3 linked regions of the Oryzias latipes genome follow. The protein of the gene in region 2 binds, or shares a complex with, the protein of the main gene of each other region. Links are inferred from orthologs where the notes say so. Each region holds a gene or a part of one and is shown on either strand. Other genes may lie near its edges. The genes, in order: timm29, timm10 and timm9.

Region 1 (3,757 bases), on a different chromosome or scaffold from region 2:
AATGAGTAGATAGAACACCCCCCCCCACACACACACACACACACACCCACACACACCCCATTCACCCATACTGGGTCATCAGTGGAAGCAGACCAGCACCAGTGTGGGGTTCTGCTGCTTTGCTCAAGGACACATCAACACACCTGCTCCCCCTCTGCCCCCCTGATCCCTTGGGCTGACCCAGACTGACAGAAGCGGAGCTGGAACGTCCCATTCACCTGTGGAGCAGGTAACTCACCGTACAGGTCCGGGCCGGTCCTGACGTGGTGTTTGAGGAAACTTCTTCCAGGTACGGGCATAACGGCGCCCCTCACCCGCTCTAGAACCTACATCACAGCACCGGGTGACCTCCTGGCACACGCCCACACTCTACAGGTGTGCAGACTCCGCCTCTTACCTGCATGGTGTCCACGTTGAAGAAGGACTGATAGTACTCGAAGGTCCAGAAGCCCCCGCCCTGCTTCTGCCCTCCTAGGAGCTGACAGAACACAGGTAAGTCAGCCGCCGCCTCCCCAAGCTCCTCCTCCTGCACAGGAAGCTCACCTCCGCGCTCTCCTCCTGAGCCTGCTCATCCTCCGACAGATCCAGCTTCACGTCCCCCCCCCCAGCAGGGGTGGTGGGGGGCACGGACATGCTGAGGGTGGAGGCAGTTGGGTCGGCTGACAGCAGCTGCGCCGCCTCCTCCAGTTCTGCAGACAAACCAGCAGGTTGGGGGGGGGGGGGGGCGGGGGGGACAGGTGAGGTGGGAGGGGCAGGTGGGGCTGCAGATGATGGGGTCTTCTGGGGTCCTCAGGCTTAGCAGAACCTTCACTCAATTCTTTACAACAATTCAGAAGCTTTGATGTTTCTACCGTACAGTTCAAAACTTTTGAGGTGACATGCGCACGCGCAGCGGGAGCCCCTAATAACCCAGTTGCCTAGGTAACAGCAGAAGCAAGCCATACCCTCGAATTTCAGGTCGTTCGGACTCGTCATGGTTCCGGATCCACCGGGAAACGCCGTAAATCAGTCCCAGCTCCGCCGCGCGCCGTTCGAGAAGAGGAGCAGCCGCGAGGCCCCGTTTGATCAGTGACGACAGGCGCACGTGAGGGCAGTTTTTATAATAGATCAGCTCAGAATATGCAGCAAGAATGGGCCGGATGCGCATGCGTACACGTCATCGCGTCAACAACGAGTCACGTGCTCACATCCGCGTCCGGTGAGCGTCCTGTTTCAGGAGCATGCGCACTGCAGTCCAGGAATTTGCCCAGTTTTTTTTAAATTCAAACTTTATTGAATGTAAAAAGTCAATACAAAACAATGTTAAACAGTGAACAACAACAACGAAGGAACAAGCCAGGGGGTTAATACATTTTACGCAGATATATTGAAACTGACACACAGATCGAATGTTTTTTTTTAAACATATGTTTATTAAAGATTTTGGCATAAAACAACATACATTTGAACAACCACTGAGATGAAAAAACAAACAGGAAGAAAACAATCAAAAAAGAAGAAAAAAACAAAACAAAACAAAAAAAAAAAACAGACACACAGAAACCAGGGCTAGAAATGAGAGTCTATAAAGGAAACTTAACATTACACTGCAATTTGAAAAAATCCTTTCCAAGTAATAAAGAAAAATAAAAAAATAAAAAGTGGCACAATTAACTCTGTTGTGGGCGGGTTGTATCTTTTTTATACTTGGTTAAATGATCCAAAAAAGGCTGCCACACATCAAAAAATACATTTAGCTTATTTTCCAGAACAGTTCGAATCCTTTCCATGTGCAGAACACTGGTGAGTTCAGAAAGCCACATCTTAAATAGAGGCACAGTGTCAGACTTCCATAATGTCAATATAACAGATCGGATGTTTTGATGGCTTTCTTATTATCAGAGTCTCTTATTGTCTTAATGTATTGTTTGAACTCCTTGATAAAGATTGAGAAATGAGGAGTATGATTCGTAACTTTTGATTTATGAATGTGCCATTTCCATAAAACAACAAAAGGTTAATGAAGAACAACTGTTCTTTTTTATGAGATGGACAGTGGGTGATGCCAAACATAACATGTTTTAAGTACAGGCGAAAGTCAGAGTCAATGTGGGCGGAAATGAAATGACAAACTTTAGACCAGAGAGTGGTGGAAAAGGGACATGACCAAAATAAATGTACAGCATCTTCAGGCTGTTCTTGGCAAAAAGAGCAGCAAACATCAATATCTTCCTTGAACCTTTGCAGATATAGTTTGGTTGGATAGAATTTATGAATTAGTTTAAATGAGATTTCTTTCACTTTATTGGTTAAAAAGTATTTTGCTGGTAAATTCCAAATCTTTTTCCATTCTAAATGATAAACTAAATTATTCCAAAAAGAAACTACGTGGAGACAACATCCTTCTGGGAGAGTGAGCGTTTACGGCGATTTGTGGTACGTGAAGAAGAAAAACAAATTCGTCCTATTTCTATTTTAGTCGGATCAATTGGTAATAAAGTTGGACTTTGCAATGATGAGCTTTGGAATAATGTAATAATACATTTAGGAATTGCTTTCAAAACAAAGTTAAATTCAGATTTTGGTATTTTGATGGAATATTTGAAGCAGAATTCTTCATGTGACATTAAAGCTCCGTTTGAATTAAACAGCTGATGAACCAAAAGGATGTTTGGATTAAACCATGATGGATAAAATAAAGATTTATGTCTATAAGTAATGTCTTTATTGTTCCATATGTAGTATCTGTGAGGAGAGAAATTGTGTTTGTAGATGAGGGACCAGGAAAGTAACATTTGTTTATGGAAGCAAGAAAGCTTAAGTGGGATCTTTGGTACATTATAGTTACAGAATAAAAGAAAGTTTATGCCTCCTAATTTGGAGAAAATGTAATTTGGTATGAAATTCCAGATTGAAGTTGGATTCTAAATAAAATGTCTTAGCCAATTTATTTTAAAGGTATTATTTAATGTACAAAAGTCTAGAAAAGTTAAGACCACCCTTATCGTAAGTGTTCATTACTAACACAATGAGACGGGTTCATCACTTTAATCCCCAAACCTAATAAAAACACATTATATTTGGATAATTGGAGACCAATGACTTTGTTATGCAATGACTATAAAATTTTAGCTCATGTTTTTGCAGAGCGTCTAAACGAGGACTGAAGGATGTAGTGGATGAGTGTCAGTCAGCATTTATTAAAGGAAGAAATATTCATAATCACATCAGGTTGGTGGTAGATTTGTTGGATTATTGTGACTTTGTTGACCCAGATAGTTTGATATTATTTCTAGATTTCTATAAAGCATTTGACACATTGGAGCATTCCTTTTTAATTAAAGCCCTGACATTTTTAGGATTTGGTGATAAATTTTGTAATATTATTAACATAAGATAAGATAAGATAAAGATACTTTATTGATCCCAGCTTGGGAAATTCAGTTGTTGCAGCGTCGGCTTTAGGCTCAAGATACAAACAAACACACAATAGACGACAGAGAACCAGAACAATCAATCAGAAAGAAACATCAGTGAAAAAGAACAGTTGTATTGTGTGCCACATCAGGAGAGAAAGACAGACCATAAATGACTTTATGTATTGCACATGGATGACGAGTTCTAGAGTCCAATGGAGTGAGGTAGGAAAGATCTCCTGTAGCGGTTGGTGTGACAGTGAAGCTGCCTTAGCCTGTTGGAGAAGGTTCTCCACTGACCGTCAAGAACAGGATGGAGAGGATGCTCAGGATGGATACCAGCTTATTTAAAGTCCTCCTCT
Region 2 (3,757 bases):
TCTTCAAGTTATAGATACATTTTCAAAAGCATCTGGACTTTATCTAAACCTAAAGAAATGTGAGTTATTTCCTCTCAATGTGCTCTAACATCCATAAATAGTATAGTAGTCAAAGAAAATGTCACATATTTGGGATTGCAGATAACTAAAGATCAAAAACAAAGAGAACTGAATAACTATATTCTATGATTGCAAAAGCACAAAATCAGTTTAACTGCTGGCTACAAAGAGATCTTTCACCAAAAGGTTGTGCTCTCTTAGCAAAAGCAGAAGGGATTTCCAGACTAGTTTACATTGCTTCCTCACCATCTCTGGACAGTAAAAATGCAAAAAGGATTGATCAGATACTTTTTAATTGTCTTTGGAGAAACAGAATCCACTATGTTCGAAAGTCAGTAGTAATTAATTCATCAAAAGACGGAGAACTTGAATTTCTTGACTTTTCCACTCTAAATAATGTCCTCAAAATTAAATAGTTAAAAAACTTCATTTTGGAATTTCATACCGAAATATATATTTGATAAGTTTGGAGGTCTGTCATTTCTTCTATTATGTTATTTCAAAATAGGGAAAATTCCTTTGAAGCTGTCTAATTTTCATAAGCAGGTTTTATTGGCATGGACTTTGATCTACAAACATAATGTTTCTCCTCATCGCTACTATATTTGGAATAATGCAGATATTCTATACAAAAACAAGAGGATTTTTCTTGAAAATTGGTTTGAAAAGAACATTTTTCTTGTAAATCCACCATGTAACCTGATGTCATCTGTTGAGTTTCTGTCCACCTATAGTCTGCATGTCTCCCCTGCAGAGCTTGCATTGGTTACTGGAGCCATCCCAGGTGCTGTTAGACTTCTGTGGAGCAGTTCTCCTTCAAATACTCCATGTTCTCCTCCCAAATGAACAGAATTGTGGTGTGGAAAGATTTGTTTTTCAGCTGGCAGGAATAATCAAAGTATCCGTTCTCTGTTTCAAAATGAGATTACAACAAAACCGTATGTTATCTCACACTGGAATAGGTTTGGCTGTAGAATTCAGGGGGAAAAGGTTTGGTCCCTGCCCCAAAAGTATGTCATCACCAAGAAAATCAGAGAAAATCAGAGAAATATCTTTCGAAATTCTTCATAAATCTTATCCAGTGAAACACTTCATTACCAAGTTTAAAAAAAAGAAATCTGAAAATAAATTGTTCATTTTGTCATTCCTCACCAGAAACTGTGTCTCATCTTTTTTGGGTTTGCTCCTTCACTCAAGTATTTTGGAAAGATTTGATAGATTTTAAAATCTATGTGAAGATTATAGATTATTTTATGATACCATATTATTTTTGGACATTTTACACATAGGGAAACTTGATGCAGAGAAAATATATGTAGTTAATTTACTTATAATTATGGCTAAATACTTTATACACAAGTGTAAATATGACAACAAAAAAAAACGGTATTTTATGTTTTCCAGAAAGAAATGGCACTGTGTGTAAACAGTATAACAAAAAAGCTGTCATTACAGTTGAAACATGGTCTCTTCTGAAAAAAACAGATTCCTTTGCCTTTATTATTTTTGCTTAACCTGTTTTACATCATCATTATTATCGTTTTTCAATTTTTTTGTTCATTTTCCTGGTGAATGTGAAAATGGTATTTTGCACACTGTGTGGTGGAGTTTTGTGTTTGGTATTTTGTATGTGCATTATTAGTTAATAAAGTTAAAATATAAATAAGTGGGTTAAAGAAAGTGAAATGCATCTGCTGGGAATGAATGAGGAGCCTCCTCTGCTCCCAGGAGGTCCAGCTGCAAACATCAGTAGACACAGAACAACAGCGCTGCCTTTGCTTTGGTCAGCACTAAATTACCGGCATGTTTTCAGGTCAGAGGAAGTCACGCAGGTCCCTTAGGGTGACATTAATGGAAAAAAGCAGCCATTAGAAGCCCTGGGCATGACATAAACAAGAAATACATTTATAAATCTGTATAGATTCGATTGTGGCCAACATTTTAGTAGCATTTTGTGTGCAAAAACAAATATTATGTGCACACTGCTTTTTTGTGTTGTGTGCACAGCTTATATAATAAAAACTTTAATTCCTATAATGTGAGGCTACAACATGTCAATATGTATGCACAAAATGCGAATGTGAGAATACAGAATACTAACTCCTGGCCACAGACGATCAGAATGAGGTGACTTAAAAAAAGATATTCAGGGTTCCGTATGGCTGTAGATTATGGCGAAGCTGTGCTGAAAAAATCCCATTCATTGTTGTGTCCGTCTCATGATGTCAAGCAAAGGCCTAAATGGATCAGGCTGTTTGTCTCTGGCGCTGAAGACCCTCTTTAACACGGCCATGGATGGTGGTCGGGAATGGATGATGGTGCTGCAGAGTGTGTGTCCGCATGCATGTCATATGACGGTACACAGAGATGAAGACCTACCGGTTGTACATGTCCGCCATCATCTCCACCTCCAGCTCCGCCGCCAGCTGCTGCGCTTTCACAGGATCCATTCTCGCCCTCCGTGTCGTTTCACAACCGAGCCCAGCGCCGGTGACCCTCTCCAGCTGGATAACAGCAAGCCGCGATGCTACTGTCACCTTCAAATCCTAACACACGTGTGATGTCGCGTCTGACTTCCGGTATAAATAAAGTTTACTTTAAAAAGGTCGAGTCTAAATCAGCGCGCCCCCCTGTGGATCATATCTGTACTACAGAGCTTTGACCGGACATGAGAACTGGACTTAGGAGCAAAGTCAACTTTTAGGATTCAAATTAATTCCCTTTTCATTTTTACATGGACAACATCCTGTTTAGTTTTGCTGATTATGAAAATAAGCTAAATTCCAAATTCTACTTGATACATTTCCTGATGCTATTAGCAAATGTTCAAACAAAAGTACAGGTGGAGAGGATGTCATTTTTTCAAGCCCCTGAACCGTGTGCATGGGGCCTGCTAGTGCTGTTCAGGTGATAAATGTGCTCCAGGCATGAAGCCTGTTAGAAATGAGGAAATGATACAGCTTAGTTTGTGTTGACGTCCTACGAAGAACTGATGCTTTTCGTACATCTCCCGTGTGTGCAGCACTTCTGTGCAGTCAGTAAGGAGCCGGTGCGTGCACCTCAGACTAGAGAGCGACATTAAGGCACAGCATGAGACCATAACTGCACTTTACTTGCATTATTCTTACAAATAACTTACCATTTCCCCACACACAACAATGGTACCTTCCATTTTCATAATCATAACATCCCTTTAGGTGCCTGTAGGAGCCTCAAGTGAATTGCAAGACAAACCTGAGCTCCCTGTAAGATGTGGCTGCTCCTCTCTCTGCCCCCCCATGGGCACCGACAACCCTAACACTTGCAGCACCCCATCGGGTGAGCCCCCGCACGGGTGCATGTGACTGCAGCATTAACAAAGGGCAAAGGCAGGGAACACCCGGGACAGCACACCAGTCCACTGAAGAACACAACCACACAGACAAACATACACTCGCACTCAAAGGACAATCCAAGAAAGCAATCCTGAAGCTTTTGGACTGTGAGAGGAAGTCAGAGAAGACCAGAGAAGACCCACGCATGAACCAAGAGGACACACAATCTCCACTCAGAAAGAAACCAGCCAGAATTCAAACCAGGACCAACCTCCACAACTTCTGTGCTAGAAAAAAAAGCACAACCATGAAAACTGACTTTTTCTTTTTTTAATAAACTGTACATAAAATATGCCATGTTTTTTTTAAATTCAGCATCAAAA
Region 3 (2,574 bases), on a different chromosome or scaffold from region 2:
ATTTAGAAAAATAGTTTAATGTGGATCTTGAAATGGATGATCCCTCTAATCGGGTTGAAGAGGACACACCTGATGAGATGACAGAGGCGGAGCCTCCAGCCTCATTTAAGATCATTACAGGTAGTGTAGAAATATGACTCTACTAACTTTTATACAGTAAAAAAAATAAATTGTTTCAATTTGGTTTGTGGCTGTATTTACACCACAGTAACTTGGAGTTAATTATTTCAAAGTGGAGCAGGTGTGTCTGTGAGTTGAAAATCCTTATTTTCTACACGTATAGCATGAGTGTTGTTTTTACACTAAACCTCATGTAGACATTCAGTTGTTTCTGTAAAGGATAAAGTAGAGTTAAGAATAAATTATTACATTAAGATCTCCTGTAGTGAAGAGAGAACGGACAGCAAAGTGCAGCTTAAGAAACCCAAGACGGCCTTTTTGCCGTAAAAAATGACCACATTTACGGCTCTGAATTGTGTTTTTTTGGGGGTATATTTTCAGGTTCATTGTAAAAAATAATGAAAAAATATCTGTTAAAAAATGTATATATATATATATATATATATAAAATAAGAGTCTGGGGTTGTGCTAAAAAGGAATAACAAGCATTGCTGCAAAAAGCTGCCGTAAAGATCAATTATAAGAGCTTATTGTAAAAAAGTAAAAGATCCCCTGGACTACGGAGCCCCTAAAGGGACATTGAAGAAGAAGAAATTAACAGTTAGTTTATGTTTTTTAAATCAGTTGTTTTTTGTCCTTCAATGTCCCTTTAAGGCTCCGTACTGAACTACAAAGGGCAGTTAGTTTAATCCGTCAGTAAAGAGTTTCAGCTATATTGCCGATTCAAATGGACTCATTGTTGCCTTTCATGAGAGTATAAACTCACGTTTCTCTACAAACAAACGAAGCCCTGCATTTTTTTTCTCTGATATATCAAACGCGAGGCGATTCTGAAGTCGGGGCGGCTTGTATCAACGACAGGCGTGTGTGGTTTCATTAGGAAAAGGCAGACAGAAGCGGGGACTTCACCTCCTCTGGTTTGACGTCTCTGGTGGTGAAATCTTTGACGCAGTCCATGAAGCAGTTCTCCGTCACCTTGTTGTAGGTTCCCAGAAACTCCTTGAACTGAAAGACAAAACCAGACAAGTCAGAAACAACAAATGGGGAGACAAGAGACCCCCCGCTTCTCTTTGGCCACAGCTCCTCTGTGGAGGCTGCGTTTTTAGAAGAAGTTATGGATCTAATGTATGGTTTTAGAAAATAAAAGCACCATAACAGCTGACTGAGATCTGGGAGAGGTATAAACAAGTATTCTAGACTTAAAGGCATCGTGGGCGACGTGGCTTTGTTGCAGGAAAAACGTCTGAGGCTCGACGCGCTCGGCAACCTGCGTACGTACTAAACGCGCGGCCCTAGAAGACACGTTGCCAGTTAAACCAGGTCCTACTTTGACCAATCAGGGATTTGGTATCGACGCTTGGATGGAGCCCTTTTTAGCTCATAGAAGTACAAACCGTTTGAACGTTGATCATGAGAGAGAAATGAATAATTGCGGTTTGATCCCAGCTGGAATTCTACAACGCCAAGTCTTTAAAATATCGGAATGTTGTGAAAGAAAAAAACGTGGAGCGAGATTCACGGGATTTACACCGCTTTGACATTTCACGCCATGCCGCTAGTAAACATGGGGGGTGGACAGTAAACTGTGGAAAAACAAGTAGCCCCTCCCTGCTTGTCCAGTGTGAACACCGTGGGCTAAATGCACAAAGGTTGACGCGTTCTTGAACGTGCGTCACATGACGCTCCAGCCTTCACCTTTAGCTGCAGTCCCACTTTCTCTATTATCTGCTTTATTTACACGTCCTTAACCTTCAGCGGAGAACAGGTCGTTACTCCTCTCCGCCTCAGTGACCACATCCTGGCGGAAATGAACGCTGAAGCGTGACCGACTTCGCTTTAAGCGGGATGCCGGGAAAGCTGCAGGAACTTTCTCATCTCTGCACTCTTGAGGTTTTGAAATAAAAGGCCCACCTGCTTGATCTGATCGGACTCAGACACCTGCATCGCCATGGTCGCCGCTCTGCAAAGGGAGACACACAAACAAACAGAATCAACAAACTCTCCAGATGCAGAGAGGCAGTGAAAAGGTGGGACACAGAGCAGAAATGGGGGTCAACAGGGAAAAAAATACCACCTTAAACGCTAAGAAGGCGTGGAAGAAGAAGAAAAACTGCTTCACAGTCCAGAGCTTTTCTGGAGAATCATCAGACGTTCACGAACCAAGTCATGAGAGACGTTTACATCACTGACGTGTAACCGAGTAACCGAGTCTGTAATCGAGCTTGAAGTGGAGGTTGTTGTTGGTTTTCTCTTCTTCTAAATGTGTGGAAACTTTCACCTTCGTCCAGCATTTTTATGATAATAGTAACTGTAGAAAACAAACAACTTTAAACATGTACAGTTGTTCTAAAGTCAGAAGATCTTCTTCTTTTCTGTCTGATTTTGTTGTAAAAGCCTGTTTATGTTATCGAAATCACACCACTTGTAAAGACCATCCATTTGTGAAATAAGTAT

Evidence for each region.
Region 1: the proteins of timm10 (region 2) and timm29 are in contact, whole or in part, in a cryo-EM structure (PDB 7CGP), measured with the Homo sapiens proteins. The link is inferred for Oryzias latipes from reciprocal best matches to the Homo sapiens genes TIMM10 and TIMM29. Residues at the interface, in NP_036588.1 of Homo sapiens: His30, Arg31, Lys32, Cys33, Pro35, Pro36, Leu43, Ser44, Lys45, Gly46, Glu47, Ser48, Val49, Arg53; in NP_612367.1 of Homo sapiens: Asp181, Asp183, Ile184, Asp186, Phe189, Leu192, Leu196, Arg197, Val199, Gln203, Leu204, Ser206, Asn209, Glu210, Leu212, Phe213, Asp214.
Region 3: the proteins of timm10 (region 2) and timm9 are in contact, whole or in part, in a crystal structure (PDB 2BSK), measured with the Homo sapiens proteins. The link is inferred for Oryzias latipes from reciprocal best matches to the Homo sapiens genes TIMM10 and TIMM9. Residues at the interface, in NP_036588.1 of Homo sapiens: Glu16, Met17, Asp20, Met21, Arg24, Ala28, Cys29, Lys32, Cys50, Arg53, Cys54, Ser56, Lys57, Tyr58, Asp60, Ile61, His62, Arg64, Met65, Gly66, Lys68, Leu69, Leu72; in NP_001291414.1 of Homo sapiens: Lys15, Leu18, Gly19, Tyr21, Asn22, Lys23, Thr25, Glu26, Cys28, Phe29, Leu30, Val33, Asp35, Phe36, Thr37, Thr38, Arg39, Glu40, Val41, Glu45, Thr46, Glu50, Leu53, Leu57.

Annotation. Positions count from the first base shown.
Region 1 is NC_019866.2:25,850,387-25,854,143, forward strand, and holds the start of timm29 (mitochondrial import inner membrane translocase subunit Tim29), read left to right. Parts: upstream 1-1,113; 5' UTR 1,114-1,198; intron 1,199-3,757. Other genes in the region: protein YIPF1, read right to left, coding at 239-326, 398-478, 544-689, 945-975. UniProt on the Homo sapiens protein: Component of the TIM22 complex, a complex that mediates the import and insertion of multi-pass transmembrane proteins into the mitochondrial inner membrane.
Region 2 is NC_019859.2:27,362,318-27,366,074, forward strand, and holds the start of timm10 (mitochondrial import inner membrane translocase subunit Tim10), read right to left. Parts: upstream 2,629-3,757; 5' UTR 2,511-2,628; coding exon 2,440-2,510; intron 1-2,439.
Region 3 is NC_019880.2:2,465,219-2,467,792, reverse strand, and holds part of timm9 (mitochondrial import inner membrane translocase subunit Tim9), read right to left. Parts: intron 2,081-2,574; coding exon 2,032-2,080; intron 1,126-2,031; coding exon 1,030-1,125; intron 1-1,029. UniProt on the Homo sapiens protein: Mitochondrial intermembrane chaperone that participates in the import and insertion of multi-pass transmembrane proteins into the mitochondrial inner membrane.